5 linked regions of the Macaca mulatta genome follow. The protein of the gene in region 1 purifies or fractionates together with the protein of each later gene. This does not show direct contact. Links are inferred from orthologs where the notes say so. Each region holds a gene or a part of one and is shown in the gene's direction. Other genes may lie near its edges.

Evidence for each region.
Region 2: the proteins of POLR3E (region 1) and POLR2H purify together in Homo sapiens (affinity purification with mass spectrometry; 3 studies listed by BioGRID and IntAct, with this or other methods). This does not show direct contact. The link is inferred for Macaca mulatta from reciprocal best matches to the Homo sapiens genes POLR3E and POLR2H.
Region 3: the proteins of POLR3E (region 1) and GPN1 purify together in Homo sapiens (affinity purification with mass spectrometry; 3 studies listed by BioGRID and IntAct, with this or other methods). This does not show direct contact. The link is inferred for Macaca mulatta from reciprocal best matches to the Homo sapiens genes POLR3E and GPN1.
Region 4: the proteins of POLR3E (region 1) and POLR3B purify together in Homo sapiens (affinity purification with mass spectrometry; 8 studies listed by BioGRID and IntAct, counting the BioPlex papers as one, with this or other methods). This does not show direct contact. The link is inferred for Macaca mulatta from reciprocal best matches to the Homo sapiens genes POLR3E and POLR3B.
Region 5: the proteins of POLR3E (region 1) and POLR3GL purify together in Homo sapiens (co-immunoprecipitation; 5 studies listed by BioGRID and IntAct, counting the BioPlex papers as one, with this or other methods). This does not show direct contact. The link is inferred for Macaca mulatta from reciprocal best matches to the Homo sapiens genes POLR3E and POLR3GL.

The regions. Positions count from the first base shown.
Region 1 is NC_133425.1:21,766,813-21,771,436, forward strand, and holds the start of POLR3E (DNA-directed RNA polymerase III subunit RPC5), read left to right. Parts: upstream 1-1,721; 5' UTR 1,722-1,872; coding exon 1,873-1,998; intron 1,999-4,091; coding exon 4,092-4,142; intron 4,143-4,624. UniProt on the Homo sapiens protein: DNA-dependent RNA polymerase catalyzes the transcription of DNA into RNA using the four ribonucleoside triphosphates as substrates.
Region 2 is NC_133407.1:96,503,169-96,507,671, forward strand, and holds the start of POLR2H (DNA-directed RNA polymerases I, II, and III subunit RPABC3), read left to right. Parts: upstream 1-1,331; 5' UTR 1,332-1,463; coding exon 1,464-1,536; exon of another isoform or gene 1,537-1,544; coding exon of another isoform or gene 1,545-1,545; intron 1,546-2,935; coding exon 2,936-3,019; intron 3,020-3,102; coding exon 3,103-3,196; intron 3,197-4,344; coding exon 4,345-4,428; intron 4,429-4,503. UniProt on the Homo sapiens protein: DNA-dependent RNA polymerase catalyzes the transcription of DNA into RNA using the four ribonucleoside triphosphates as substrates.
Region 3 is NC_133418.1:97,364,552-97,369,093, reverse strand, and holds the start of GPN1 (GPN-loop GTPase 1), read left to right. Parts: upstream 1-1,522; 5' UTR 1,523-1,531; coding exon 1,532-1,642; intron 1,643-1,868; coding exon of another isoform or gene 1,869-1,922; intron 1,923-2,344; coding exon 2,345-2,438; intron 2,439-3,511; coding exon 3,512-3,685; intron 3,686-4,246; coding exon 4,247-4,341; intron 4,342-4,542. Other genes in the region: CCDC121 (coiled-coil domain-containing protein 121), read right to left, coding at 1-402, 869-1,236. UniProt on the Homo sapiens protein: Small GTPase required for proper nuclear import of RNA polymerase II (RNAPII). May act at an RNAP assembly step prior to nuclear import.
Region 4 is NC_133416.1:113,653,209-113,657,128, forward strand, and holds part of POLR3B (DNA-directed RNA polymerase III subunit RPC2), read left to right. Parts: intron 1-2,928; coding exon 2,929-3,003; intron 3,004-3,549; coding exon 3,550-3,648; intron 3,649-3,920. UniProt on the Homo sapiens protein: Catalytic core component of RNA polymerase III (Pol III), a DNA-dependent RNA polymerase which synthesizes small non-coding RNAs using the four ribonucleoside triphosphates as substrates.
Region 5 is NC_133406.1:119,326,541-119,331,214, reverse strand, and holds the start of POLR3GL (DNA-directed RNA polymerase III subunit RPC7-like), read left to right. Parts: upstream 1-1,540; 5' UTR 1,541-1,584; coding exon 1,585-1,710; intron 1,711-2,027; coding exon 2,028-2,157; intron 2,158-4,490; coding exon 4,491-4,559; intron 4,560-4,674. UniProt on the Homo sapiens protein: DNA-dependent RNA polymerase catalyzes the transcription of DNA into RNA using the four ribonucleoside triphosphates as substrates. Specific peripheric component of RNA polymerase III which synthesizes small RNAs, such as 5S rRNA and tRNAs.

The DNA.
Region 1 (4,624 bases):
AGGGACAAAATAGACCAAAATCTCTGCCTTCACGTAGCTTACAGCTTAGTGGCAATAGAGGTGGGCACAGATGCAGAGCTGTAAACTGTCACATGGTGATAGACACCTGCTCTGGAGAAAACCAGAGCAGAGAAGGGAATTGAGGGGTGGGGAAGGCAGTTTGCAATTTGATTTGGAGAGGGAAGGTCTTAGCCATAAGGTGACATTTGAGCAAAAACCTGAAAGAGGTGAAGTGGGGGCCATGAGGTTATCAGGCGGGTAGAGCAGCTACACATCCCCAGAGGTGGGTTTAGAGAGGAGAGGAGGGTAGGAGGCTCGTGGGAGATGAGGTCTGGCAGGTCAAGGGGCAGGAGATTGTTTAGGGTTTACATGGGGTGATAAAGACTTTGGCTTTTATCCAGGTGCGGTGGCTCACACCTGCAATCCCAGCACTTTGAGAGGCCGAGGCAGGCGAATCACTTGAGGCCAGGAGTTCAAGACCAGCCTGGCCAATGTGGCAAAGCCCCGTCGCTACTAAAAATACAAAAATTAGCTGGGCAGATGGTGCATGCCTGTAATCCCAGCTACTTGGGAGGCTGAGGCACGGTAATCACTTGAACCTAGGAAGCAGTGAGTCAAAATCATGCCAGTGCACTTTGGCCTGGGCGACAGAGCGAGACATGTCTTAAATAAACAAATAAATAAATAAATATTAGATAGTTCAAATGTTAAGTAGATCAGACAAAAATCATGCCTGGCCAACATGGTGAAATCCTATCTCTATTTAAAATATAAAAATTAGCCGGGTACTGTGGCAGGCACCTGTAATACCAGCTACTTGGAAGGCTGAGGCAGGACAATCACTTGAACCCGGGAGGCAGAGGTTGCAGTGAGCTGATCGTACCACTGCCCTCCAGCCTGGGCGACAGAGCAAGACTCTGTCTCAAGGAAAAAAAAAAAAAATGCTGGTCTCACCCAAGAGCAGGGGTTTGGGGATTGCTGAGGCCTGGGGGTGCCTGAGTACCATCCTCCTATGACCACCTCTCTTCTCTTTGGGTATGTGAAGGGGCAGACCAGCTGAAATACTCAGCCTGCCCCGTGGAGACCTGCAGCCTTTCCTCTTCCTGGAATTCCCCTTCCCCTCTGCTGTCGTGGCTTACCCAATGCCCTCTCTCCTTCCAGGCACACCCCACGTGCCTCCTCCCCAGCAGAAAGGCCCGCCTGCCTCTCACCTCCCCTCCCTGTTACCTGCACCTGAGGTCAGACAGCCTGGATGTGAAGTCCAGTTCATCATCCTGCTTACTATGTGACTTTGGGTAAAAACGCACACAGTATCTCTGAGTTCCAGTCTGTTCATTATAAAACAGTAACAATCACCACACCTCACAGGGTTATTGTGTTGAATACAGGACAGAAGAGTGTGTGAAGAAGTCATTTTTAGACCAAATCACAGAAGAGTCATCTCACTCAGGATTCGAGTTAAAGTCAGCTTGAAAATCAAGTATCAGAGAGAGCTTTGGACTGTCTGTCTGCCTGTTTGACGTCTGGCTGCTCTTTCAAGCCTCCTCAGGGCCCTCAGTTCTCCAGTGTTTTAATCATGGCTGGGACCAGCTAACCTCTATCCTCCTCTCTGGCAGTGAATTCTCTGTGAGCAGAGAAGAAACCCTTAAAGCCAGTCATTTGCTTTTCCCTCGCAGGTGCAGCCCACACGTGTTGGCTTGGTCTACCCGCTTGCATCTGAATGTTTCTTTTTTTCTTTATTTCTTTTGGCTGATGGGGTATAGGGTTGGTCGTCCATTGTTGACTTCACGGTAGATGTAGAAAGAAGGTCAGTTGGTTGGTTGTGGGCTCCACCTCCCAGTTCAGGGCCTGTTGCAGAATAGGCACAGGGAAATGTTGGTTGAACCACTGACTGATGGTCCCAGTCTCTCGCCCTCCTTTGCAGATCGAGCTCAAGGACTGCGCGGCTGGCTCTCCTCTAGTATGGCCAATGAAGAGGATGACCCAGTCGTACAGGAGGTAACTGCTGCTCTCTGTCCCCTGCCGCCGGGGCTACAGGCAGTGGAACTGGGTCCTTGCCATGCATCCTCAGGCCAGTCTGGGATCTGTTGATGTTCTGGGACCCCAACCCTTGCTGTTTCCTCTGCCTGGTCCCCTCTGCTGTCCCCCAGACCCCTGCGTGGCTGACCTCTCCCTTCCTTCAGGTCTCTGATCCGGCATCACCTCATTCTAGAGAGGCCTTCCCTGACTGCCCTTTCACACCCAGCTCCCCTCCTGGACGCTCCCATGCCTCTCTCTGCCCTTACCTTGGCGATAACTCATACTTGGCCTAGCCCCTGTCATCCCCTAGATATCAGTTCATTGCTTTCTTTCCTGTCCACTGCTGTGCCACAAAGCCCAAGTACAGTGCCTGGCACCCAGGTACCCGGCAACTATGGTGGAGTCATTGATGCAGTCATTCAGCAGCTGTTCACTGGACCACTGTGTGCTGGGGGCTGTGACACATCAGTGAGCAGGGCAGGGAGGGTCCCCTTCCCTGGGAAGCTAATGGGCTGGGGATAGGACTGATGAGGCAGGAGTCTCCGGGTGTAGGGTGCAGGCAGTGGGAGGCAGATTTCCCGCCCCCCCCGCCTTTTTTTTTTTTTTTGAGACAGAGTCTTGCTCTGTTGCCCAGGCTAGAGTTCAGTGGTGCCATCTTAGCTCACTGCAGCTTTCGCCTCCCAGGTTCAAGCGATTCTCCTGCCTCAGCCTCCTGAGTAGCTGGGATTACAGGCGCCCATCACCACGCCCGACTGATTTTTTTTTTTTGAGATGGAGTCTCACTCTGTTGCCCAGGCTGGAGTGCAGTAGTGTGATCTTGGCTCACCGCAGCCTCTGCCTCCGGGTTCAAATGATTCTTGTGCCTCAGCCTCCTGAGTAGCTGGGATTACAGGCACCCGCCACCATGCCTGGCTAATTTTTGTATTTTTAGTAGAGACAGGATTTCACCATGATAACCAGGCTGGTCTCGATCTCCTGACCTCAAGTGATCACCCACTTTGGCCTCCCAAAGTGCAGGCATTACGGGCATGAGCCACCATGCCTGGCCCAGGTTTCCCTTCTTAGAGAAAGCTGTTTATAGTCAAACTCACGTTTCAGAATCCTTTTAACCCAGGACTTAGACCTTTGGAGGGCAAAAGGCAAAAAGTAACTGCATCTGCCTTCAGCCTCCCTATATGCAGAGCCTGACCTCCAGTGGGAAGGGCAGGGGCAAGGAGAAGGTCCTCGGAGATGAATAGAGGTGGTTTTTCCTTGCTTGGGGGATGTTGCTAAGTTATTAGATTTGGGTTATTTAGATGCATTTAAGCTGCATCTACACTGTAGTACGGGGGTGGTGATGGGACAGAAGAGTCCAAGGGACTCTGAGGACAGAGGCAGCGCCCTCTGCAGCCAGGGACCCTGGAATGCTTCCTGCCCAAGTCATGCCTCAACCAACTCCTTGGAGGAGCAAGCAATCAAGGCTCAGGGGAGGCATGTGTGAAGGGCTCTGTAGATGCAGGGAAAAGCGTGTGCAAAGGCCCAGGGGCAGGAGAGAATGTGGTTCATAGGAGGAGCTAGGAAGCAGGAAGGTAAACTGTTGCATGGTGGGGTGGGGGTGGTTAGTGTTGGGAAGACAGGAAGCGAAGCCATCAGTCATGAAGGGCAGACCCCCTAAGACAGGGTGATAGGCCTGTCCAGGAGGGGCAGGTGGAGGGCCCAGCCAGGAGGCACAGGCATAGGTGAGCCCTCACCTGCCTGCCTCTCAGAAGAGCATTTGCCCAGGCTCCAGGACGTTTCCCAATCAGTGCAGCCCCAGGGAAGATGTGTGCTTACTGGGGGATTATGAACTTGGGTGGGGGTGCCAGGTGAACTCTTGCCCTGGTTCCCCTGGGAGCTTTCTGGAGGGATTCCTGAATATACCCAGTGTGCAGCCTTGGATCCCCTTGGTTTTAGCATGAGCTGAGCTATTTCCTCCTTCCCCAAACTGCCTCCCTGAGCCACTACCCCTCACTGAAGCTGGAAGTGCCGGCACAGCCCCGGGAGGTCCGCACTGTGTCCAGTCTCCCGGTTAAGTCATCTTCCCTTCTTCCCAGATCGACGTGTACTTGGCCAAGAGTCTGGCGGAAAAGCTGTATCTATTTCAGGTAATTATGGGACTTGAAGGTAAAGAGGGGAAAAGCAGGTGTGGATGGGTGGTGTGGACTCAGGAACATGGGCAGGAAGCGATGGGAAACCTCAGCTAGGGTTCTCAGTGTGGAGAGTGTCATGGGGTCTCTTTGCTTTCGCGGGTGGGTTAATATTGGTCTCATTTCAAAGACGGGAAAACCGAAGGGACACAGGAGAGGCAGAAGGGTGCAGCAGTTAAAGCTGGGGCTCTAGGGTCAGACTGGATTGAGATCCAACTCCATCACACCGTAGCTGCGAGACCGTGGGCACATTTCTTAATCCTTCTGTGCCTCAGTTTCCTCACTTGCAAAGTGGTGATGGTAATAATGCCTGCCTCATAGGGTCCCCGGGAGGACAGACTGGGTCCACAGTGAAGTGTTTAGGATGCCACCTGGCAGAGAGTTAGTGCCAGTGATGATGGCCGCTGTTGTGGAGGCTCCAAGGGGCAGCTCCATGGCAG
Region 2 (4,503 bases), on another chromosome or scaffold:
CGGCCCAGACAGGCCCAGGAAGGCCCCTCTGCCCCGTCAGGGGTGAAAAGCAAAGCTGGGAGAATTCGGAGGGAATTGGAGCCGTCTTCCTCATCCTTCCTTTTCTCGGGGCTCCCCTGGGGAGGTGCACTTGGAGCAACCCGGCCTACGGGGTGTGCAGGGGTGGAGGTTGGGGAGGGCACCGGAAGGGGTAGGCCGGAGGGAAGGGAGCTCCAGGTGCCGGGAAGTCCACTTCTGGGACGCGGGCGTGGGTCGCTTCTCCCTGGTTGGGCCCAAGGAGGAACCAGAGTCGCTGCTTCCATCTCTCCGCTTTGGGGGAACCGCCTGCTGGTGCTCTGGGTTCTCTATCAGGGGCTGGTGAAGGATAGAACAGATGGCAGAGCGCGCGCAGGGTGGATGGGCAGCATAGAGATAGTGTGAGAGGAGCGAGGGCAGCGCCCAGGAAACGCACAAGTGTGCGGGACAGCCAGCACCAGGAGGAAGGGGCATTTGGGAGGCAGAGGAGGGCCTCAGGGGGCGGGGGCAGTGCCCGGGAAGGGGGAGCCTTGTGATAGAAGCCAGTACCCAGGAGGAAGGGCCAGTGTGAGGGAAGAGCTGGTGTCCAAGGGACAGGGCAGTGCCAGGCTGAAGGGGCACGGAGGGGATCCGTGTCCAGGAGAAGGCAGTGGAGGACTAAGTTGGAGGGGTAATGCCCGGGGGAGGCGGGTGGCGGGAGCCAGGCTGAGGGGGCGGTGACGGGGAAGACAGCAGGGCCTGGGGGAAGCGGGCAGTGGTGGGAGGGTGCAGTACGAGGGGAGGGGACAATACAGGCTTTCCTCTTCTCCATAGCGACATCATGGCAAATTCCCAAACTGGACGGATCCGGCTCGGGTTACATCCAGCAGGGCCGAGCCGGCCCGGGCAGGCCCCGGGGTCCGCGGTGCCGGCTGGAGGGGCTGGGCACCTCTGGGGCGGGGTTCTGCTCCACCTGCCCTCGGCGCGGACTGTGCCCTAGGCGGGCACGCAGACCGGCGGGGTAGGGCTAGGGCCCGGCTTCTCTGGGCCAAGGATCAAGGTCCCTGCCTGGGTTAGGCCCCCACGACTTCCAATCTTCGGGACCCGGCCTCTGAAGAGGGCGCAGCAGAGCCCCAGCTGAGCGCTAGAACCCGCTCTACAGCCGCGGGAGGTTGGACCTATTGTTTCCCCGCCCTGGGCGGGGCCACCTGGACGTGAGACCCGCCCTCAACGCCGAAGCCTCTCGGGAGCAATCTTTTGGGGCGGAAGTTAAGTAGCCCCGAGCGGGAGTCTGTGGCGGAAGTGGGCGCGTTACCACTTGTTTGTGCGCATGCGCCACTCTTGTCTGGCTGCCGCGCATGTAAAAGCTGGTTTTGCTCTTCTCCCCTCTTCTGCACCAGAGCGGGTGCGCGTACTCCCAGCTGTGGTCGCCCGCTCACCCCTTCTGCTGCTCTCGTGGCCCCCTCGCGATGGCGGGCATCCTCTTTGAAGATATTTTCGATGTGAAGGATATTGACCCGGAGGGCAAGAAGTTTGACCGAGGTAAGTAAAGTAGGTAGGGGCGATTTGGAGGAAGAGGCTAACCTCGCGGACATGCCCCTGGACCCCGTGTCCACCCAGCTCTTGTGGCCTGCCCCTACCAGCAGGTCCTGATGTAGGGACCTCCCTCAGGAAACAATTTATGGATGAGAAAAGGGAGACTCCCGAGCTTTCTCTGGCTTCACGCATGCCGTGCCCGGTGCCTAGGTGGCCTTTTGTCATGGTGCTGGCAAACTCCTGGGCATCTTTATAATCGCTACCTGCTCTGTGCTAGACACTGTCTTGTGAGACCAGCCTGGCCAACATGGTGAAACCCCGTCTCTACCAAAAATACAAAAATTACAGGCGGGCGCCTGTAATCCCAGCTACTTGGGAGGCTGAGGCAGGAGAATTGCCTGACCCTGGGAGGCGGAGGTTGCAGTGAGCCAAGATTGCGCCGCTGCACTCCAGCCTGGCAACAGAGCGAGACTCCTCAAGAAAATGAGAGTCCTCATGAGGTGGGTGGTGCCTTCCCCATTTTTTTCTGAGAGAGTAATCCACCCAAGGCTTCACAGCGAGTAATCTGACTTCAGAGCCTATATTCTTGTATTGCCCTCATAATCCTTAGCGCTTTAAGTCTTCTCTGAGTTAGAGTTAGCTGCTTGGTATATCCTTTTTTTTTTTTTTTTTGAGACAGAGCCTCGAGCCCAGGCTGGAGTGTAGTGGCACGATCTTGGCTCACCACAACCTCCGTCTCCCGGGTTCAAGCGATTCTCTGCCTCAGCCTCCCAAGTAGCTGGGATTACAGACATGCTCCACCACGCCTGGCTAATTTTGTATTTTTAGTAGAGACGGGGTTTCACCACTTTGGCCAGGCTGGTCTCGAACTCCTGACCTCAAGTGATCCACCTGCCTCAGCCTCCCAAAATGTTGGGATTACAGGCGTGAGCCACTCCACTGGCCTACACCTCTTAATTTTGTCATCTATCAATAATTTTCTTTTTGATGTCTCATTCTTTGCCTGGAGACTCAGATGTTTTCAAGACGGATACCAGTTCTTATACATCTTGATAACTCCCCTCAGCACAGTGCCTGTCATAGAAAGAGGAAACCTTTGGATGATTGAATAACTTGCCCAGAGTCAGGTTCTCAGTCATCCAGGCAGGCCTAGAACCGGGTATTATTTGCTGCTGAAGTATCTTTGGTTGTTTTCTGGGGATTACGTTCACTTGCCACAGTTTTTCTCCCCTTTTCCTTCTTGCATGTCTGGTTCTGATGGAGCCTGCATTTCTATGAGAGCAGATGAGAGACCAGTGGTTGTAGACTGGGTTAGATTGAGTATTCTGTTGCATACAATCCCACACTGTAGGATCTGCCTTGGGCCTGGCAATACCTCTGTCACTCTTTTCCTGCTTCTCCCCAGTGTCTCGACTGCATTGTGAGAGTGAATCTTTCAAGATGGATCTAATCTTAGATGTAAACATTCAAATTTACCCTGTAGACTTGGGTAAGTATTGAACACAGACAATAATAAGAGGCATTTTGCCGCTTCCGCTATTCTTCACTCTCTGATATTGCTGTTATTTTCAGGTGACAAGTTCCGGTTGGTCATAGCTAGTACCTTGTATGAAGATGGTACCCTGGATGATGGTGAATACAACCCCACTGATGATAGGCCTTCCAGGTGAGGTAGTGGAGAAGGTAATACTTGGAATATGCCTTGAGAACTAAGTAGATAAGTGATATAGAAAGACTCTTCTTTAATTCCTGGAATAAATGATGATCAGCAGAATCTGAGTAACCTTAAGGAAATTTCTGCACTTAAGAATTCAAACAGGCCAGACACCGTGGCTCACACCTGTAATCTAAGCACTTTGGGAGGCCGAGCAGGAGGATTGCTTGGGTACAGGAGTTCAAAACCAGCCTGAGCAACATAGCGAAACCTCACTGCTACAAAAATAAGAAAAAAAGAAAAAAAAAAAAAAAAGGCTGCACATGTTGTCATATGCCTGTAGTTCCAGCTACCTGGGAGGCTGAGGTGGGAGGATTGCCTGAGCCCAGGAGGTTGAGGCTGCAGTGAGCCATGATTGTACCACTGCAATCCAGCCTGGGTGACAGAGTAAGACCCTGTCTCAAAAAAAAAAGAAAAAAATTCCAACAACCAGGTATTTATCTATAACAGTGATTACATGCTTGTGAGTTGTAGCCTTTTGAAGGCTGAGGAGGTGACTGCTGAGTGCCCTAGGCTATGTGGGTCTTGTGTCTTGGGAGGGAGCTTGGTGTGATGGAAAGACTTTGGCACCCCACTTGAGTTCATTTCTCAGCTCTATCACTTATTTGTTGAGTAACCTTAATCTCCTTCAGCCTGTTTCCCCATCAGTAGAATAGAGATGATCATGATCATGCCTAGCTCACGGGGTTGCTGCGAGGACTAAATGACATCATGTTTGTTTGTAATGTGCCTTTTTTTTTTTTTTTTTTTTTTTTAGACGGAGTCTTGTTATGTCGCCCAGACTGGAGTGCAGTGGCTCAATCTCGGCTCACTACAAGCTCCGCTTCCTGGGTTCACGCCAGTCCCGAGTAGCTGGGACTACAGGCGCCCGCCACCACGCCCGGCTAATTTTTTTATATTTTTAGTAGAGATGGGGTTTCACTGTGTTAGCCAGGATGGTCTCGATTTCCTGACTTCGTGATCTGCCCGCCTCAGCCTCCCAAAGTGCTGGGATTACAGGCTTGATACACTGCGCCCAGCCGACCAGTAACCATTTTTAAATGGGATTTTTTATATTGTTAATTACTGTTAAGAATAACTTTGCTGCTATTGCTCCACAGGGCTGACCAATTTGAATATGTAATGTATGGAAAAGTGTACAGGATTGAGGGAGACGAAACTTCTACTGAAGCAGCAACACGCCTGTAAGTTACATAATCTTATGAGGTTCTTTTCCCTCTCTGTGTTCTGAGACTTTGAGCTATGCTCCTGCTTCCTCT
Region 3 (4,542 bases), on another chromosome or scaffold:
TTTTCCTTTTGCAAGAGCGCTGTTTTAAGCACTGAAATTTGTTCTGCATATCTGGAGGCTGATTCTTGTCTTCTTCGTTCAATCTCTCCACTTTGTTGTAAATAGCTGTTCCATACCTTCTCAGGTTGCTTTGTGTACTCTTCAGTTTTGTTAGTCAGGTATTCCAGAAAGAACCTGTTTTCAGCCTGGACAAGTAACTTTTCTTGGTATAGCTCCCTGTATTCCTCCAGTAGCTGTTCCCGCTGGATTTGAGCTTGTTTTATATGCTTGTTCAGAACCGTCATTTCCGCCACTATCTTTTCTTTAAGGATTGTCTCCACCTTTGTTAGCTTCTCTGGCTTGACAAAATTATTTATTAGCCTATGATACGGTGGAAGGAGCCTTCTGGGGCCCTCAGCAAACCTGAAAGAACAAATGAGACATTCCTCTCTCAGTTGATGAAACTTTAGGAAGTGCACAACTGTCCTTTATTTATACCAGAGAATATTTCTGAGTACCCAGAATGTTCCAGACATTATGCAAGGTGAGGGGAATCCAGCTAGTGGTAAAAGATGACGGATTTAGCTCATCATTTACAACGTGCGTTCACCACAACCCTGGGAGGTACTATCTCAGTTTTAAAAAGAGAAAACAGGTTCAGAGAGTTTAAGTGAATTGCCCATGACTCACACCACTAGCAAGTGGCAGAGCCTGGGTATGAAAGCCAGATCTTATGACTTACTGAACACTGTTAGCAGCTACAAAGGGCCACAGAAACAGACTGGGTGGTTGCGAGTAGAAATACTTTTCTAAGCTCTTTCATCATCTTTCCTGAGTTTCTGAGAGCCCTTCAGTGAGAAGGAAGCTCCCCTCCAGTACCTATTCGCACCTGGAATCCAAGCATTCATCCTGAAGGTCACGGCAACTGCGTAGTTCACCGAGGGTGATTACCAAGGAATGAGCGCTAGCATCAGGAACCTGCGCCTGCAACTCGCGGGAACAACGTGCAAGTGCGGAAAACTCCCGTAGTTTATCCGTTCGGTGCTCAAAGGGTCTCGGTGCTGCCCAGCAACCCTGGAGGCTGCACCCTGCTCCAGTCCTGGCTGGTCCAGCCCTGAACTGTTTAACCGCCTCGGCTACCGAATAAACCCGAGCAGCCGGTCCTCCAGTGGCTCCGCTCCCCGCTCTCTGCGGGCTCGAAATGAGAGGCATGCGCCTCGTTTTCTTGCTGTGTGAGTCCTGCCCTCGGGACCCCATCTCTTCTCGCCTTCCCCCTGGGGCCAAAAGCCCTCCCAGGCTGCAGAGATCAGAGCCCTTTCCTAGCTCCCTTCAGCCTTCCTCTCGCTTGCTCAGCGCCCCCACTTCCTCGCCACTGTCACTAGTTGGCTCACCAGCCCTGCCCGATACTAAGAAGATGCCCTGGCAACTACCGCGCCCCTTCACGCTCCTTTCTGACGCTTTGGTTCTGTTTTCGTTCGCTGCCCAGAACATCGCGGAAGTTTCTCTAGCCATGCGGTGTCTCTATGGTCAGGTGGGCGGGGCCAGGAGGAAGATGGCGGCTCCCGCAGCTGCAGCTGAGCCCCAGGCTTCTGGGGGTCCGCGGCACCCAGTGTGTCTGTTGGTGTTGGGAATGGCGGGATCCGGGAAAACCACCTTTGTACAGGTGACGTACACAGCGTGGGTGTAGTAGGGGAGCGCAAAAGGTTGCCTCCGACAGGCGGAAGGCCAGGGAGAAAGGGAGGGAGGTCTCCGAGGATTTGGAGGGTATCGGCGCATGGGTTTCGGTCGTTTCCCATCAACTTTAGTTCCTTCCCCGGCAAAGCCTCCTCGGGCCCTAGCCAGGTTAATTAAGGCTGTCTTCTGTGCACCTTCAGTGCATACTCGGTCAGCTTACCACGTTGTACAGGAATTGTCTTGCTGATAAAATTGCCAGTTTCTCGAAGGCAGGGGCTTACAAGTAACTTTAGAGATTAATACAGTGCTAGCACACAGGTTTTGGTGAAGATTTGCCGAAGAATTATTTCTTGCACGCCTGTCATGTACCATTCACTGGGGATATAGCGAAAATTAGGTTGACAAGATTCATTCATGGGGCTAAATATTTAATGGAGGAGATAGAGAAAACCCACATACGAAGAATCAAAACAAGTAAACAAGTGACTATGAGTAGGGGAAGTTTTGTTAGATGGGTGATGAAGAAAGGTAGCATTTGAACTGAGAGTTGTATCTTGGTGGTGGATATAGTGGGTGGATATTTCAGGTAAAAGAAAATCTAAGTGCAAAACTCTTAAGGCATGGGTGGTAAAGGAAGTTCTCTCTTGTCCCCTCTTTGTCTCCTTCCAACCTTCTCCCCATATCTCTGCAGAGGCTCACAGGACACCTGCATGCCCAAGGCACTCCACCTTATGTGATCAACCTGGATCCAGCAGTACATGAAGTTCCCTTTCCTGCCAATATTGGTGAGTAAACCGGTAACATAACTTGTGTGAAGTGCTTTAAAGAGAATGGAAAAGGCCGGGCGCAGTGGCTCACCCCTGTAATCCCAGCACTTTGGGAGGTCGAGGCAGGTAGATGAAGAGGTCAGGAGTTCAAGACCAGCCTGGGCAAGATGGTGAAACCCCATCTCTACTAAAAATACAAAAAATTAGCCAGGCGCGGTGGCAGATGCCTGTAATTCCCGCTACTCGGGAGGCTGAGGCAGGAGAATTGCTTGAATCCGGGTGGCAGAGGTTGTAGTGAGCTAAGATAGCACCACTGCACTCCAGCCTAGGCAATAGAGTCAGACTCTCCAGCCTGCCAGTCTTCAGTGCCTTCTTTTTTGATGTTTTCTAAACTATCTACTTTCATTTCCTTTGGATTTGCTTGAGTTCCTAAACAGCTTAGGCTTTTTTTGTTGTTGTTGTTGTTGTTTTTTTTATAGAGTCTCTGTCACCCAGCAGGCCAGAGTGCAGTGGCGTGATTCACAGCTCACTGCAGCCTCAACATCCCAGGCTCAAGTGATCCTCCCACCTCAGCCTCCTGCCACCATGCTGGGCTAGTTTTGTTTTGTTTGGAGAGACAAGGCCTCTCTATGTTGCCCAGGCTGGTCTTGAACTCCTGGGCTCAAGTGATCCTCCTGCCTTGGCCTCCCAAAATGCTGGGATTACAGGTGTGAGCCACTGTGCCCAGCCTAATTCCTTTTTAAAAATCATGTCTGCATTGCCTTTGCATTGCGTTTGTTAGTAATAGGCAATTAGTAAGAAGCTTTTTTTCCCCCTTGATTTTTGCCTCCCTTTTTCTAGGCGTGTTTGACTTGTGTGAAACTTCTCACTTTGTGGAGACAAAACTCTCTACCATAACTTTAGAGCTCCTAGCCCTAACATTCTTCATGAATTACTTGACATTTATTCTTTGTAAGGAAGGAAACCAGTGTGAAAGTGGAGGTGGTAGAAGAGAATGCTGACAAGAGAAGGCTAGAAGGCCAGTTTCACTTTCCTGCTGGTAGGGAATGTGCATGTATTACATTCCAGTTAATTCTTTTCTTTCTCCTCAGATATTCGTGACACTGTAAAGTATAAAGAAGTCATGAAACAGTATCCTTTTCCATCTACTTTGGTCTTGACTCATTCCTGGCTTCGTTTCTGTGTATTTTGTGGCTTGAAAGAGTGTTTTTGCCTTTTCCCTGTGAAATATACAAGCAAAAGGATGGAAGCTGATTGTGGCAGAGGTAGGTGATCAGAAATATTATTTCAGCTTGAGATTTTAGTTTTTTTACTGTCTCCCCAGATGGCAGGCTGTTGTAATTAAAGAGCAGAGAGTAGGACAGGATAACTGACAGCTACCTGGGTCCCACAAGGTAGTATTTTGCCTTGGAGGATCATCTGTTGGTCACCACCTCTTTAGACTGGGAAACTCAGAAATGAGTGGGTTTAGTTGGATTAACTCTTAGTAAATTGCTGTGTGAAATGTGTACTCTGCTTAATTTGTTTATGAGGATCAGAGCCGGAGGTGTTATACAGGTGGCCTTCATGGCCAATGCTAGGGAGCTGTCACTGCCTGATGCACCTGTATTACATTTTGGTCACTTTGCTTTCTTCATTTTGCCTGGCCATTCCTAAAGTCATAAATGAGTGAGCCAGACCTTGATACTGAATGTTTCCCTGTGTGGTTAAGTTTGTGTGGTAGTCACGGATTAGGTTGCCAATATTCATTAATGGAACACTAATTTCATAATGCTGTTTTGTGTGAATGATAGCCTGGGTGTGAACTTTATAATCTAATCTATAAGCGATTTCAGTCCTCAACTTGGTGTCTAGATATGGACTTGGACCCAATGGCGGCATAGTGACCTCACTCAATCTCTTTGCTACCAGATTTGATCAGGTATGTCTGTCTTTAATATATCAATATGGCTGTGTAAAAATCTGTGACTCTTAAATTCCTTAGCTTGATCACATTGATAAAGAAAAGCGGCAAACCTGCACATAAATACAGAAAATAAGTAGACATTTTGTCAGACAGAGAAGTAGACTATGAGAAGGTGATCAGTATTGTCAGACACTTCACATTTAATATTTGTGACAG
Region 4 (3,920 bases), on another chromosome or scaffold:
CAAGAATGAAAACATGGAGACATGAAGAAATAAAATAACACTAGACCCAATGGAAAAGTAGGTTCCTTTTATTCATTCAGTAAGTATTTATTAAGGGCCTGTTGTGCACAGGTACTATCTAGGAGCTGGAGGTACAAAGATGAATGTGACATAGTGTCTGGTTTGAGGGGATATGCAGAGACATCAGCTGAGGACATTGCCTTGTTTCACAAGCCTTTTCTAGCATTACCGTAGTTATTCTGTGTATACCTCGGGTAGAGTTGAAGCACGAGGCAGTGAGCTAGCAGTAGCTGGAAGTCTGTCAGAGCTGGGAGAGTGACTGTCCAGCATCCATTCCTCCTTCATATGATACTACCTCATTTTCCTTTGAGGACTGCCCCTCCCCACTGGCAGGCTTCTTGGGATGGTCAGTCCAGTGCCCTCTTCTCTTCAGCCAGGGGTTGGGCATATGACCCAAATGAGGCCAGTCATACCCCCTCATCAGAGAATTTGAATCCCAGGTAAAATAAATCAAGGGAGGGAAGTGGTTGGACCTGATTCATTCTCCCAGTGCTGCATGCAAGAGACTGCCTGTTAACACCTCATTTTCTGGATCCTTGGAATTGCTCTAGTTCCTTTTCTTTCTGAGGCTGAGCATTTCAGCTTTTTTGTTGATTCTTATCCTTCCATTAACTTTTTTATTTATTTATTTTTTTTTGAGACAGAGTCTCAGTTTGTCACCCAGGCTGGAGTGCAGTGGTACAATATTGTCTCACTGCAACCTCCACCTTCCAGGTTCAAGCAATTCTTATACCTCAGCTCCCCTCCCACCCCTGCCCCGCCGAGTAGCTGGGATTATAGGCACACACCACCGCCTCTGGCTAATTTTTTGTGTTATTAGTAGAGATGGGGTTTCACTGTGTTGGCCAGGCTGGTCTCGAACTCCTGGCCTCAAGTGATCCACCAACGTCAGCCTCCCAAAGTGCTGGGATTACAGGTGTGATCCATTGCACCCAGCACTGGTAAATTCTTAATGCCTCCAGTAAACTTCATTTTTGCTTAAATTAGCCAGAATTGGTTTCTCTTCTTTGCAACCAAAGAATGGTTAGCTGATGATATACCTGTGTTTGAATCCTGACTTCCCACTTACTGAGTTGTGTGATTCTGAGTGTACTACTTCAGTCTCTCAGCCTTGGTTTCACTGGCTATAAAATGGAAACAATAATGCCTGCCTAAGATTGTCTTGAGAAGTAGCTGATATAAGGTGTGGTAAGTGCTCTGTAGAGTGCCAGGCACACATTAGGTGCTTATTTATAACTATTAATAGCATGGTCCAGTTAAGGGCAGGAATAACAGTGACAATTTCTAGGTTACTCTTTTTTAGGATTTCATTACATCCGACATAATATATATTCGAAAAGAAAACGGGCCGGGTGCGGTGGCTCAAGCCTGTAATCCCAGCACTTTGGGAGGCCGAGACGGGCGGATCACGAGGTCAGGAGATCGAGACCATCCTGGCTAACACGGTGAAACCCCGTCTCTACTAAAAAATACAAAAAACTAGCCGGGCGAGGTGGCGGGCGCCTGTGGTCCCAGCTACTCGGGAGGCTGAGGCAGGAGAATGGCATAAACTCAGGAGGCGGAGCTTGCAGTGAGCTGAGATCCGGCCACTGCAGTCCAGCCTGGGTGGCAGAGCAATTCCCTCTCAAAAAAAAAAAAAAAAAAAAAAAGAAAACTCTTTTATAGAAGCAACTTTATAATGGCATGACAGATCTAGCAGGAAAAAATAGTAGAATGTGTTGAGTTAACGTAAGGATAACTGAGGCAGCTAAATGTGATCCCCTCCCTCTCCTCCGCCGGTTTCTGTCGTCTCATCTGAGGCTTAACCTGAATCCACTGCAGCGCTCAAATGAGGCATTAGCGGGCTCTGCTTCCCTACCAAGAAGGAGCCAGAATTTCGAGGTACTGTGGATTTCCATGAAAAGCTCACCCAGTTCATTTTTCAACAACTTGTGTTCCGCTTTTGTAATTGTGCAGCTCCTCTTCTTAACTGTTTAAAAGTGCTCATTAGTCCTCAAATAGTTATTTGGACTTTAGGGTAGAGCGTACAAGTGTCTGGTGGTTACTTGCTCCTCTCTGTAAGAGCTGCTTATCCAAATAGCAACAGCCCTTGACGTTTCAGTGCCGCATGCCATCCTTTGTGTCGGGGTTTCCTCATGGTGGCAAAGCCCTCCGAGGCAAGTCCCCACTGACAGTTACAGGTTAATCTGCCAGAATGCCTTCTCCACCTTCCACCCATTACGTTGCTGAAAACCACAAAGTAAGAAAGCTTTATTCTCTGCCAACTTTTAGCCACTCTCTTTGGTCACTTGTAGCTTTAAGTATCTTGCTAACCTAGCTCAGTGATGTTTAGACTAAATCAAACTACTCTAAACATCTGGATATTCATCAGAACCTCATAACGCAATGCCACTTATTACCCTAGGTGACAGTGCTTCTTTGACTGTTAACTCTGTGAGTAGTATACAAAATATTTCCAATGTGAAATCAGGGGATGTTTTTAGATTGATACATTACACCGTTTTTAAAAATATGACATTAAAGGTTTTGTTTCCTTTTCAGACTTTGAGTATCATTTTTGTGTTGCCTTTTCGTTCAAAACCAAATGTTTCCTAAGATACTTGCAGGAAGCACTGTGTGTGTGCATGACTATGTGTACACATACTCACATGTGCACATGGGCTTGGGTATGTATGTATGTATATGTGAGAGAGAACATAGGCCCCTACACCATGCTCTTACATACAAAAAATACCTGGTGTACTCAGCAATCCAGGAATAGGTTTGGTTGTATTTACATCTTCCTTCATCTCACTTTGGTAAACTAATTTGCCAGTGTAATTTTTCCCTAGAACTACTATTAATTTGGTTTTGCTGTTTCCGTTCTAGACCCTACATAATTGTCAAGAAACAGAAGCCAGCAGTCACAAATAAACATATGGAAGAGCTGGCCCAAGGGTACAGGTAAGTAGCCAAAAGTAAAACTTACCAATCTCCTTAATACCCACATACATGATTTAAGAAAAGTGTATTTTCATTTTAGTGTTTTAATTTCTTTCCATCAAATTACCAGCCTGTTAAAAAACCTATTTTGCTCCATGTGAACTTGCTTGGACATTGTAAAATATTCATCAATTTAGATCATGAGGCTTACATAGTCTTGAAGTCAGTTAGTACACAAGTGTTTCTGGTAAGAAAGGGACTTACATCATGTGTCAGTGTAGACACTGTGGGTCTCATCATGAGGTTTCTAAGGTCAGAATTTTTTTTTTTAAGAAGTGGGGACTAGGTTGACAAGAGTTACAGACAGACACTTTGCTGTTTTTATTTCAGCAATTTGTGGTTACTGTGTGAGCTGAGAATAACATGTTTCAGGTATCTCAATGTAATGATATCCTCTGGGAGAGAAAGGTGCTTTGGGCCTAAATGAAAGCCGGTATCTCCTGTTGTTATATAAAATACTGCAGAAAATGCTTTTTAATGATGTCTCTTTCACCAATATTTTCCCAGGAATTTTGAAGATTTCTTACATGAGAGTCTGGTTGAATATTTAGATGTGAATGAAGAAAATGATTGTAACATTGCACTGTACGAACACACAATTAATAAGTAAGTAGAATCCATAGCAACTGTAATTAAAACCTTTTCTGACTATAGAAACTCACTTCTTTTGACAGGAACTGTTAGAAACATACAATCTTTTTTTTTTTTTTTGGAACATGCAAGTTTGTTACATAGGTAAATGTGGGCCATAGTGGTTTGCTGTACCTATCAACCTATCACCTAGGTTTTAAGCCCAGCATGCATTAGCTATTTATCTTGATGCTCTCCCTCCCCCAACCCCCTAACAGGCCCCCGCTGTGTGTTGTTCCCCTCCCTGT
Region 5 (4,674 bases), on another chromosome or scaffold:
TCAGTAGAAGGAGAAACTTTGGATTCATCAGTGTTCATCACAGTGGAATATACTGTCTTGGGGGAGAATGGATACCATCTCTTTAGGAAATGTCACCAAAAGCTGAATAACAATTCACAAAGTAGGGTCAGGGGTGGTGACTCACACCTGTAATCCCAGCACTTTGGGAAGCCCAAGCAGGTGGATCACTTGTGTCCAGGAGTTCGAGACCAGCCTGGGTGACATGGCGAAACCCCGTTTCTACAAAAAATACAAAAATTAGCCAGGCTTGGTGGCACATGCCTGTAGTTCCAGCTACTCAGGAGGCTGAGGCAGGAGGATCACTTGAACCTTGAAGGTGTAGGTTACAGCGAGCCAAGATTGCACCACTGCATTCCAGCCGGGGCAACAGAGTGAGACTCTGTCTCAAAAAAAAAAAAAAAAAAAAAAAGACACACATACACCAAACAACAACAAAACAATTTACAGAGTGAAGTCCTGCACTGGGAGGGATTTAGACTAGATGACCTCTAAGGGTCCTCCGAATTCTAAGATTCTGTGCTTCCAAGTGGTGTTTAAAAAGATCAATCTGGCCTCTCGTGGTGGCTCATGCCTGTAATCCCAGCAATTTGGGAGGCCGAGACATTTGGATCACTTGACATAATGAAATTCCATCTCTTAAAAACAAACAAATAAACAAACAAAAAAACAAAACAAAGAGCCAGGTATGGTGGCACACACCTGTAGCTCCAGCTACTTGGGAGGCTAAGGCAGGAGGATCACCTGAGCCCAGGAGGTTGAGGCTACAGTGAGCCATGATCACACCACTGCACTCCAGCCTGGGTGACATAAAGAGACCTTGTCTAAAATAAAATATAAAATAAAATAAAATAAAATTTGATTGTAATGTCTCTTTTCCCCTGGTTGACAATGAAATTGATGACTCATCCCTGTGCTCCCACAGTGTCTGACACTATCTTTTTCATGGTAGATGATTAATAAATGTTTCGCTGAATGCATTTCTTTGGATTGAATTGGGGCCTGGTCAGGTTTGGAAGGCCAGAGATAGAAAGAATTCAAAGGTTATACATATAAATGCAGTTAGTGACTGGGCATAGTGGCTCATGCCTGTAATCCCAGCACTTTGGGAGGCTGAGGCAGGAGGATCACTTGAGCCCAGGGGTTCGAGGCTAGAGTGAGCTGTGATTGCACCATTGCACTCAAGCCTGGGTGACAGAGTATCTCTAAAAATAAAAATAAATAAATGCAGATAGGAATAAACATCAAATTGTCTTAGGGATGTAGAGTTTTGTCCGAGGGTCTAAGCACTTTCTCCTTTGTGCTAAACTATATTGTAATTATCTGACCTGTTTGGGGGACCATGTCTCATTCATGTTTATGTTTCCAGAAATTCTCTCTCTGACACTGTGCCTTCTCAGTCAAAATTTGTTGAATGACATTGACTTTTTATGTCCCAGCGATAAAAGATTGAATGTCTTGTACCTCCTTGGCTTCCTGTCCATTCTACTACATTTCTTTTTCTCTTTGTTTTTGTCTTTATCAGGTTTTTTCACTGGATCTCTGAACACCCAGGCCCCCTCCACCATGGCCAGCCGGGGTGGGGGCCGGGGTCGTGGCCGGGGCCAGTTGACCTTCAACATGGAGGCCGTGGGCATTGGGAAAGGGGATACTTTGCCCCCACCCACCCTGCAGCCTTCTCCACTCTTCCCTGTGAGTCTCTCCACTTCCTTCCCAGACTCTCATGTGCCCCTGGCTGACTGTACATGATTCTGAATTCCTCCTGGACCATCATAAAACCATCCTCACTGGCCCTCTCTGTCTCTATACTCCCAATGCACAAGGGATGTTTTGCAGTCAAAGAAGTGTCCACCTTTATTTCTCCCCAGCTTTCAAAATGATATGTTACTCTCCCCATTCTCTTTCAGCCCTCTGCTCAGGGGAATATTAGATTAAATTGGGAGGAGGGGTCTTCCTAAATTTGTACTAGCATTTTCTCCCTGAACAGACCACTGCCCCTGCCTCTTTAGCCTTTGGAGTTCCGCCCAGTACCTTTGCCTTCAGGAGAGGAAGGGGAATATGTCCTGGCACTGAAGCAGGAGCTACGAGGAGCCATGAGGCAGCTCCCCTACTTCATCCGGCCAGCTGTCCCCAAGAGAGGTCAGTTGGAATGCTAGCATCATATTCTGAGTGCCTTCCGTGGGGAGTGCCCTGTGCTCAGCACCACTGGGGGCTGGAGAGGCACAGGAAGCATACTGTCTAACTGGGGAGATCATAATAGTTACTCCTGCATCTGAAATGCATTATAGTATTCATGGTTTGTTTTGAGTCTCATGATAGTTTTGGGACAGCGGGAGGTTAAATATTAAAATCCCATTTCTTGTGTGTAGGTGGGGGGATGTATTTTCTAAAAATTTATATATTTTTTATTTTTTTGTAAAATAGAGATGGGGTGTTCTTATGTTGCCCAGGCTGGTCTTGAACTTCTGGGCTCAAGAGATTCTTCCGCCTTGGCCTCCCAAAGTGCTGGGATTACAGGCATGAGCCACCGTGCCCAGCAAAAATTTTAACAATCTGGATATTAAAAGCACCAACCAACAACAGAATACTGAAATCGGCCGGGCGCGGTGGCTCACGCCTGTAATCCCAGCACTTTGGGAGGCCGAGGCGGGCGGATCACAAGGTCAGGAGATCGAGACCACGGTGAAACCCCGTCTCTACTAAAAATACAAAAAATTAGCCGGGCGCGGTGGCGGGCGCCTGTAGTCCCAGCTACTCAGGAGGCTGAGGCAGGAGAATGGCGTAAACCCAGGAGGCGGAGCTTGCAGTGAGCCGAGATCGCGCCACTGCACTCCAGCCTGGGCGACAGAGCGAGACTCCGTCTCAAAAAACAAAAAACAAACAAACAAACAAAAAAACAGAATACTGAAATCCTGGTTTCTTTTTTTTCTTTTTTTTTTTTTTTTTTGAGACGGAGTCTCGCTGTGTCTCCCAGGCTGGAGTGCAGTGGCGCGATCTCGGCTCACTGCAAGCTCCGCCCCCTGGGTTCACGCCATTCTCCCGACTCAGCCTCCCAAGTAGCTGGGACTACAGGCGCCCGCTACCACGCCCGGCTAATTTTTTTGTATTTTTAGTAGAGACGGGGTTTCACCGTGTTAGCCAGGATAGTCTCGATCTCCTGACCTCGTGATCCACCAGCCTCGGCCTCCCAAAGTGCTGGGATTACAGGCTTGAGCCACCGCGCCCGGCCGAAATCCTGGTTTCTTATTCCCTAGCATACTTTCCACTGCATCACACTATTTCTTAATACAGCCATGCCTTTGAACTAAGGGACAGAAAAAAAAAAAAAAAGTCATCATGGCCGGGTGCGGTGGCTCACGCCTGTAATGGCCAGCACTTTGGAAGGCTGACATGGGTGGATCACTTGAGGCCAGGAGTTTGAGGCCAGCCTAACCAGTATGGAGAAACCCTGTCTCTACTAAAAATATAAAAATTAGCCAGGCACAGTGGTGTGAGCCTGTGGTCTCAGCTACTCAGGAGGCTGAGGCACGAGAATTGCTTGAACCTGGGAGGTGGAGGTTGCAGTGAGCTGAGATCTCGCCACTGTACTCTAGCCTGGATGACACAACAAGGCTCTGCCTCAAAAAAAAACAAAAACAAAAACAAAACAAAACAAAAAAACACTGGCCAGGTGTGGTGGCTCACACCTATAATCCCAGCACTTTGGGAGGCTGAGGTGGGCAGCTCACGAGGTCAGGAGTTCGAGACCATCTTGGCCAACATAGTGAAATCCTGTCTGTACAAAAAAAAAAAATACAAAAAATTAGCCAGGCCTGGTGGCAGGTGCCTGTAATCCCAGCTACTTGGGAAGCTGAGGCAAGGAGAATTGCTTGAATCTGGGAAGTGGAGGTTGAAGTGGACCGAGATTGCGCCACCGCACTCCAACCCTGGGCGACAGTGTGAGACTCCATCTGAAAAAAAAAAAAAAAAAATCATAATTTTAGGTGGAAAAGAAACAGGTTAGAAGAGTGATAAGGGGCCGGGCGCCGTGGCTCACGCCTGTAATCCCAGCACTTTGGGAGGGCGAGTTGGGTGGATCACGAGGTCAGGAGATTGAGACCATCCTGGCCAACATGGTGAAACCCTGTCTCTACTAAAAATACAAAAATTAGCTGGGCGTGGTGATGTGCGCCTGTAGTCCCAGCTACTCAGGAGGCTGAAGCAGGAGAATCACTTGAACCTGGGAGGTGGAGGTTGCAGTAAGCTGAGATTGCACCACTGCACTCCAGCCTGAGCGACAGAGCAGGACTCTGTCTCAAAAAAAAAAAAAAAGAAAAAAAAAAAGAGATAAGGTCCTCACTGAAGCTGACCCCCTGGGCTCTGAGTTTGGGGTAAGGAAACAGATAATTCCTGAGTATTGAGAGGGCTGGACTCTCAGGAACAGTCCTGTTCTGGGTCTCAAGGGATAAAACTTTGACTCTTCCACCCCTCAGATGTGGAGCGTTATTCAGACAAATACCAGATGTCAGGTCCGATTGACAATGCCATCGATTGGAACCCTGGTAGGTGATGGGCTCGTTCATTGACTGCCTTTCTTTCAAATGCATGAGATGCTTCAAGCCATTTCCGCCACGCCCATGTCCCCACCCCATTCCCTGATCCAGCATCTGCAAGCTA